Linked DNA regions of Saccharomyces cerevisiae S288C. The main gene of each other region encodes a partner of the protein of the gene in region 3 in a complex. Each region holds a gene or a part of one and is shown on either strand. Other genes may lie near its edges.

Region 1 (2,838 bases), on a different chromosome or scaffold from region 3:
CAGACGCGCCGCTTCTTTTAGTGTCGTTTGGTAACCGCTTTTTCTTAAGCTGGCAGAGACCGCCAAAAATAAGAGAGTCGCTTGTAGTGGGACAAATAATGAACAGAGAGGCTTTTTGATACCAGTATCGTTGAGTTGGGAATGAAATGAAATATAACGATGCAATCGTCGCCATTCCTGTCAGAATATAATCGACGGTCATGTTATATAATTGTTTTATAAACGCCCACTTCTTGGCTGTATCTTTTATAATGTCCTTTTTTCCTGAAGAGGGTTTCCATCTAATTTTCTTTTACAGTCTGTAGCCTTACTTCTGGCCCTTTAACTAAATACATTTGATTTATATTGCATATTTACTCATACAATTGTATATTTGTTGTTCTTTTTTGGTCGGCTACCAGATTTAGTACTTAATGTAACCAATTTGTGAATTTCATAAATGACGTGCCAAACTAGAAAGTGTGGGGCCCTGAGAACAACTTTAAGCTGTTGACATTACCTTATGAGTCCAGTCCATCCTCTCCTTCTTTTTCAAGTTGTTTTACTTCAGGATCCTCATCTGCTGGTTCTTTTTTCCTTGTAGCTTTGTCATCTGATCCTTTAACGTCAGATGCAGTAAACTCGCTTCCCCTTTGACGTTCTTCTCTTACGTCTCTTCTTATCCAGCCGGTGAAATTTACCTTATAACCACTGAAGCTCTTGATCTCTATGGCTTTATTCTTGTAATCCCACGGAAGTACAGGTTTGCTATTATCTCTCGAATTGGCAGAGGGAGGGCTTGTATCCTCTATTTTAGGGTTATTGGCTAGTTGTTCTTGCGATTCTGATAAAACACTACTTTCTTGGGACATACCACAATTACTCGAGAAATTGGATTTATCTTCCGGCCAATATAAGTAAAGAATGTGTTGGCATTATAGTACATTTTGTTGATATCTTTAAAATTACTTGGATTATGAGAATGATTACCCGTCAACTGCTTGGTAAAGTTTTAACGTTCAAGAAAAGCTCTAGACGGCGTAACGCACCTTTTGTTATGAGCGTTAGAAAAATTAGTGACTAAGAGGATGAGATGATAAAATGCATATGATGTTGAATATGGAAAATAAAATGTTATATTCTTACTCAACGTAACCTGCCATTTGTAGGAGTTAAAAATTATGTAGTAGACTTAAATCTCTCCTTATTGTCCTAAATACTTGTAATTACATACACATATATATGTATAAATATTCGGGAAATTTTACAACTGTTGAGATTTCATAAAGATGATAATTTCAGATACAAAGTGTTTCTATATGCCGAAATTTCCGCTTCTAATGTTATCATATAGCTTCTTTCTCTCCTGTCTTTTGTTAATATTTCCATGCAGTTTGTTTCCCTGAGGAGCTTCTGGTAGGTAAAATTCACTATTTACAGCCCCCATAGGCTGAGCGGGTACGGAATAGGCATTCTGCTGCATGCCTTGGGGAAAACTACGCCTGTTAGCACCAGCTGTGTAACGTATCGGCTCCTGAGCTGGTACCATATGGGACATCATTGGAGGTGCTCGCATAGGTGGAGGTCCATTGTAGTATTCCGCAGGTACGACAGGTTGAGCTTGCGGTGAATACCTATTAACGTGCTGCTGTGGATATTGATTGGGGCGAACTCCCTTTGGTACCATTTGCGGCGGATTATTGCTCCACTTTCCATCTAACATATGAGCATTGCCTGCCCGGCTGTTCCCATAAGCATTTGTTGTGTTATTATGATACGGCGGCTGAGTTACCTTGTAAGTATTTACAGGGTGCTGGTGGTTAGGGTTCATTCGTTCCATTTGTTGATATAATGGAACGTTAGATGGAAGATTGGGCACACCTTGTTTTACTGGCACCATATGTTGGGGAATAGGTGAAGCATCTGCCCGTTGATTTCTGGACTTTAGTTCTGGGGGCACAATATTGTTTTGGAAGGGACGTTGTTTTTGTTGGTGAGATGGATAATTATGCTGGTCCCGATATGTCATATGTGGTTGATTTGCTAAAACGTGAGCAGGATCATTATACCCAACGGGTACATTAATCGTGTTCTGCTTGAATCCAGCCGAATTGGTGGAGAATTGTGGAGACCTCGCAGGTGAATATGCAGAAGGTGGAACTGGTGCACTTGCAGGCGACATTTCATTTCTACGATCGTTCTGATAGTATTTTTGCTGAACAGGAGATACACAGTCTCCAGGCGCATTTTTATATGGTTTTGGTGTTACCTGTTGAGATGGACTGACTGCACCTTGTAAGACGTTCAGGCGAGACTCATTCGTAAATGCCTTTTTCGAATCCGAATTTGAATAAGTGGGTTGACTAGGCATTCTTGATGCCGGCAAGTTGTTGATATTTGGAGAATAATATGATGATGAATCGTCGTTGACTTTGGATTCCTCAGAAATCTTTCTAGGTTCCGCTAATTTCCTATCAGCGGTGTATTTGGAACTATCAGCGCAAGAATCATTTGTATTTGTACTTAGCTTCAATGAGTGAACGGCGCTTGAATGGCTGCTTTGTAAGTCATCGTCAGTTATATTGGATGGCTTATATTGATCAAACTTTGTCAATGATTCGAAAGTCTCTGCCTCAGTTATGGAGATTTTTACATCGTCTGGCTCATTAATCATCATTTCTTCAACCATACCGTTTAATTCTTCAATAGCTGAGTCGGTAGCTCTTTTCTGGGAATTTTTAAGTTTGTCACTGTCGTCATCATCGTGTTCGTACATTAATTCCGGTATTTCAATCTTAAAGTTTGATGAACCGGTCTCTATTACTGGTAACTGATATTCATCAGGATTAAGTGTGCTAA
Region 2 (2,821 bases), on a different chromosome or scaffold from region 3:
TTTCAATTAAAGTTTCAGCTGGGTCCAAACTGACAGGATCATAAGTGGCTGTAATGATATCACCTTGTTCAAAGACAAAGACTAATTGGTTAATATCCGCAAAATGAACAAAAGATAATAATTTGTCGTCAAAAGTCTGAATGTTGAATGAAGCCAACACATTCCTGGAACCATCCTTCATGAATTGTTGCACTTCAATAGCACCAATATCCGTAGAACCGAGTACACATGTTATACTGTCGGATAATGTATCAAATACCGAGTCTAACAAAGTGAAAGATAAGTCATCTTCATCGCCTTCTGCAGTAGACGCCGTTGGCTTAAATTTACCCTTATTCAAGGTAATAAGATTACGCATATTTGATCTTAGCTCCTGCCTCTTTGACCCACTCTTGTCATGTTCAACCATAAGCCATTAGGCATTTGTACTGTTTCTTGCCTAGGCATCGCTTTTCATTACTATGGAAAGAAAAAAAAATTTGATCATCGTGTTATACGTATTAGATCATGTGCTCCAGCCTTGTCAGCAATGCCTCTTTCAATTGAGGAAGTTCTGTATTCTGTAGCTCATTGATTCTCTGCATGTAGTAGTAATTGGCCAGGTCCACTACAGTCACTGGTTGATCATTCCCTGAAGATTGCGCATTTTTTGGGATTCCGTTTGCGAAGATATCTGTAACCATTGTTTTGAGCCCTCTCAGAGATATGTCGCGGCAGTATTGAGGGCCATATAATTGCACCAACTTGTGTGTCTTGAACTCTACTAGTACGTCATTATCAATGACGGGATCTTTTAACAGCGTTTGCAAATCAACCGACTTATCTCGATGAGCTAGAGTTTGTTGGCGCTGCAAAACTAATTGCAGCAACAATAACACAACGTTTGAGGGGCAATCCATCGTACGAATCTTGAAGTCCTATCAGCAGCTAACGAAGTAGAGAATTAACTGTAAATGCAGAAACAAAGCAGGATTACACCGTGATTTGATGAAATAGCACGTTCCCTTTGTTTGTCTTAAATCGCGTTTCCGCGATGCTCGAAAAAGAACACGAGAGGAAGGTTCATAGAGAAGCAGAAGGAGGAACCTTTTGATGCTGCTGTGCTTATCTGCTCAGGCTACAACAGGAACTGGAACATGGAAAAATCGATTGCCAAAGGTTTAAGCGACAAACTATACGAAAAACGGAAGGCTGCCGCCTTGGAGTTGGAAAAGTTGGTCAAACAATGCGTTCTAGAAGGGGACTATGATCGTATTGACAAGATAATAGACGAACTATGCAGAGACTATGCATACGCTTTGCATCAGCCCATGGCTAGAAATGCAGGATTAATGGGCTTGGCTGCCACAGCAATTGCTTTAGGAATAAACGATGTTGGCCGTTACTTGAGGAATATTCTTCCTCCAGTTCTCGCATGTTTTGGCGACCAGAATGACCAAGTAAGATTTTATGCGTGTGAGAGTTTGTACAATATTGCAAAGATTGCGAAGGGTGAAATACTGGTCTATTTCAATGAAATATTTGACGTACTCTGTAAAATTAGTGCTGATACAGAAAACTCGGTCCGAGGAGCAGCTGAACTATTAGATCGGTTGATAAAAGATATTGTTGCTGAAAGAGCATCCAATTACATAAGCATTGTAAATAATGGATCGCATGGTTTGCTTCCAGCCATAAAAACGGATCCAATCAGCGGGGATGTCTACCAAGAAGAATATGAGCAAGATAATCAATTGGCGTTCTCTTTACCAAAATTTATTCCTTTATTAACAGAGAGAATTTACGCCATTAACCCTGATACGCGTGTTTTTTTAGTTGACTGGCTTAAAGTCTTGCTCAATACCCCAGGACTAGAGCTCATATCGTATCTACCATCATTTCTTGGCGGGTTATTCACGTTCTTGGGCGATTCTCATAAAGATGTCAGAACAGTTACACACACCCTTATGGACTCACTACTTCACGAAGTCGACCGCATTTCAAAATTACAAACTGAAATTAAAATGAAGAGACTGGAAAGACTGAAAATGCTGGAAGATAAATACAATAACAGTTCTACTCCAACGAAAAAGGCCGATGGTGCACTTATTGCTGAAAAGAAGAAAACTTTAATGACTGCATTAGGTGGGTTATCCAAACCTCTGAGTATGGAGACTGATGATACCAAATTATCTAATACTAATGAGACAGATGATGAAAGACACTTGACAAGCCAGGAGCAGCTGCTAGATAGCGAGGCAACTAGCCAAGAACCTCTTCGCGATGGCGAAGAATATATACCTGGTCAAGATATCAACCTCAATTTCCCAGAGGTTATTACCGTTCTTGTGAACAATTTGGCATCATCTGAGGCAGAGATTCAATTGATTGCATTACACTGGATTCAGGTTATTTTATCCATTTCTCCAAATGTGTTTATCCCCTTCCTTTCAAAAATTCTTTCTGTGCTTTTAAAGCTATTGAGCGATTCGGATCCGCATATTACTGAAATTGCTCAGCTGGTGAACGGTCAATTACTCTCATTGTGCAGCTCATATGTGGGAAAAGAGACAGACGGGAAAATTGCATACGGGCCAATCGTTAATAGCTTAACTCTACAGTTTTTCGATAGTAGGATTGATGCCAAGATTGCCTGCTTGGATTGGCTCATCTTAATTTATCACAAGGCTCCAAACCAAATCTTGAAACATAACGACAGCATGTTCCTAACTTTGTTGAAGTCATTATCAAATAGAGACTCGGTGCTAATCGAGAAAGCTTTAAGTCTCTTACAGAGTTTATGTTCTGACTCAAATGATAATTATTTACGTCAGTTTCTTCA
Region 3 (3,479 bases):
TCCACTTGAATGCATTTCTTGATTACACTCAAAAGCCCCTCAGAAAATCTGGAATTTCTCGGGAAACTGTACTTACCAGTGTTTATAGCGTAGGTTAAAGAAGCTCCATGTATCTGCTCTTCTCGCTCAAAGGGGGAGATACCGAACATTAAAGTATAGAACGTACAACCCAAAGACCAAATATCAACCTTAGAGCTCAAAACCTGATTTAATTTCAAGTTCAGAAGTTCTGGTGGAGTATATGGCAACGTACAATTGTCATTGACCCATTCTTGTAGTTCGCTGAGTTGATGTCTGTTTTCAATTGTTATATCAGCTTGAGAGCAGGAGCCGAGGTCACCAATTACTGGTAAACCGTCTGAAGAGAACAAAATGTTTGAAGGTGTAATATCGCGATGTGCATATGCTATTGAACCTGCTGAGTTGGAGGAAAGCATGTCCATCTCTAAGGGGGTGTCTTCTAGGAGCATCGCCGTTTCATCGCTATAAGTCATAGAAACCGCATCGACATTTACTCTGGAAGTAGCGTTATCTTGTCTTGACGCAGGATCATGTAAACAAAGTAAACCTCTTGTAACTCCAAGCATTATCCTTACGCATTCTGCCTCTGATACAAAGGTGCCCTCGAGTAACCTCCGATTAATAGAGTCTTGTAAACTCCCTAATGAATAATAGGGTAGTACTATGTAAATTGTTTTTGACCCATCTTTTTCCTGCATTACTTGTGAGTCGATACTTTTTATAACATAAGGACTTTGAAACCGTTTGTAATTTTCAATTTCTCGCATACCATTGGATATACTTTCCACACTAGGACAAATAATCTTCTTTAGTGCGTATAATTCTGGTGTTGCGATGCCGTTGTCTATAATCAGAGAATTCTTTGACAGTTGTACCAAATACACAAAGGACATTCCACCTTCTCCAAGTAGTCGTTGAATCCTATATCGTTTATCATTTACCCTAATAGTAGCATCGGAAAATCCGCGACAGCAGCACAAGTTCTGGAACAATTCCAATACAATAGAAATCATTGATCGGATAAGATGGTACAATCGTTATTTTATCCCTAGTCAGTCGCTGAGATTACAGGCTCTTTTTGTCTACTCTCTGTTTCGTCTTTTTGGAGAAAGTATGGTTCAACATCTTACAAAACCAGATACCGAAAATGTCCCTAACTCGGTGTCATAAGACAGGACTTATCAAAACAGAAAGGATCTTGCAAAAAAGAAAAAGAGCAAATTATGTAAACTTTGGGGGTCAACACAGTTGTATCAGTCGTATTGGTTAGACCCAATATAGCGGTTTTCTTTACTTCTTTGTTTCTACACTTATTAAAGTCTATTTAACTCCCTTTCACGTGATCAGTTTGAAAGAAACGTGAAAATTATTTTTTTCAGCGAACTTTTTGAAGGTTTTCAATAGAAGATGAAAGCTAAATGAAGACTGTACATTCACACGGGAAACGAGAGAAAGAAGTTCAGTTAGTTGAAGCCAGCAATACTACTTTCTCTAGCAGTCTAGCACAAGTTACTTTGAAAGGAAATAAAAAAAATTGTCAGCATGTCGATTCAAACTAGTGATCCAAATGAAACATCAGATTTAAAGTCGTTATCTTTAATTGCTGCCCACTCCCATATTACAGGTTTAGGTCTAGATGAAAACTTGCAACCACGTCCCACATCCGAAGGTATGGTTGGGCAATTGCAAGCCCGTCGTGCTGCTGGTGTGATATTGAAAATGGTTCAAAATGGCACCATAGCAGGTAGGGCTGTTTTGGTAGCGGGCCCCCCTTCAACTGGTAAGACCGCTCTTGCCATGGGTGTTTCCCAGTCTCTGGGTAAAGATGTACCATTCACTGCTATTGCGGGCTCAGAAATCTTTTCTTTAGAATTGAGTAAAACTGAAGCACTAACTCAAGCTTTTAGGAAATCCATCGGTATCAAAATCAAGGAGGAGACAGAATTGATTGAAGGTGAAGTCGTGGAAATTCAAATTGATAGATCTATTACTGGTGGACACAAACAAGGAAAATTGACTATTAAAACTACCGATATGGAAACAATTTATGAATTAGGCAATAAAATGATTGATGGCCTAACTAAAGAAAAGGTATTGGCTGGCGATGTTATTTCTATTGATAAAGCTAGTGGGAAGATTACCAAGCTAGGCAGATCCTTTGCTAGATCTAGGGATTATGATGCCATGGGTGCTGATACCAGATTTGTTCAATGTCCGGAAGGCGAACTGCAAAAAAGGAAAACAGTGGTTCACACGGTGTCACTGCATGAAATTGATGTTATTAATTCAAGAACACAAGGATTTTTGGCATTATTTACTGGTGACACCGGTGAAATTAGGTCAGAGGTAAGAGACCAGATAAACACAAAAGTGGCAGAATGGAAAGAAGAAGGTAAAGCAGAAATTGTTCCTGGTGTATTATTTATCGACGAAGTCCACATGTTGGATATAGAATGTTTTTCCTTTATAAATAGGGCTTTGGAAGATGAGTTTGCCCCAATCGTCATGATGGCTACAAATAGAGGAGTTTCCAAAACCAGAGGGACTAATTACAAATCTCCACATGGGTTACCTCTCGATCTTTTGGATAGGTCAATTATTATTACAACTAAAAGTTATAATGAGCAGGAGATTAAGACAATTTTATCTATAAGAGCACAAGAGGAGGAAGTTGAACTGTCATCCGATGCCTTAGATCTATTGACCAAAACAGGTGTGGAAACTAGTTTGCGTTACAGCAGTAATTTAATCTCTGTTGCTCAGCAAATTGCAATGAAGAGAAAAAACAACACTGTTGAAGTGGAAGATGTCAAAAGGGCTTATTTGCTATTTTTGGACAGCGCTAGATCTGTTAAGTATGTTCAAGAGAACGAGTCACAATATATTGATGATCAGGGCAACGTTCAAATATCCATTGCTAAATCAGCAGACCCTGATGCCATGGATACTACGGAATAAGCATTTTGTACTTTAAGGCAGAAATTGCATCAAATATATATGTATAAATAAAAATTTTATGTTTGCGTGATTGTTGGTGATAAGAAGTAAAAAAGTACACCTAAAATAGGCAGCAGTTGGCCAGCACGTTCAGAACCCCGTATGATATACCTTCTTTCGAATAATTATCGATTATCAAATGTATAGATAGCAGTATTATAATATATACTATATTCTATACATATATGAAGGGGGTTGGTGCGTGTATATGAGAAAAAATTTTTTTATTGTAATTATTTTTTTTTTTTAAACTTTTGACTCATTCAGAGCCTCTAGTGTTCAAAATCAAAGCTACAATCATACCATATAACCCTAAAACTTCAGAGAAAATTAGAATCAAAACGATACCGACAAAAAGCCTTGGTTGGTGCATATACTTTCTAACACCAACGTCACCGACCATACCAATGGCGTAGCCACTACTCAAACAGGCAAATCCCACACAGAGCCCACAACTCAAG

What was found. The genes of interacting proteins can lie anywhere in the genome.
Region 1: RVB2 (region 3) and IES4 share a complex: the UniProt entries of both Saccharomyces cerevisiae proteins name them as parts of the chromatin-remodeling INO80 complex.
Region 2: RVB2 (region 3) and SWC7 share a complex: the UniProt entries of both Saccharomyces cerevisiae proteins name them as parts of the SWR1 chromatin remodeling complex.

Annotation. Positions count from the first base shown.
Region 1 is NC_001147.6:687,637-690,474, reverse strand, and holds IES4 (Ies4p), read right to left. Parts: upstream 852-2,838; coding exon 501-851; downstream 1-500. Other genes in the region: MSB1 (Msb1p), read right to left, coding at 1,295-2,838.
Region 2 is NC_001144.5:892,492-895,312, forward strand, and holds SWC7 (Swc7p), read right to left. Parts: upstream 900-2,821; coding exon 501-899; downstream 1-500. Other genes in the region: Elongator subunit IKI3, read right to left, coding at 1-409; VAC14 (Vac14p), read left to right, coding at 1,137-2,821. UniProt on the Saccharomyces cerevisiae protein: Component of the SWR1 complex which mediates the ATP-dependent exchange of histone H2A for the H2A variant HZT1 leading to transcriptional regulation of selected genes by chromatin remodeling.
Region 3 is NC_001148.4:101,669-105,147, forward strand, and holds RVB2 (RuvB family ATP-dependent DNA helicase reptin), read left to right. Parts: upstream 1-1,563; coding exon 1,564-2,979; downstream 2,980-3,479. Other genes in the region: putative serine/threonine protein kinase ENV7, read right to left, coding at 1-1,034; VMA11 (H(+)-transporting V0 sector ATPase subunit c'), read right to left, coding at 3,278-3,479. UniProt on the Saccharomyces cerevisiae protein: DNA helicase which participates in several chromatin remodeling complexes, including the SWR1 and the INO80 complexes.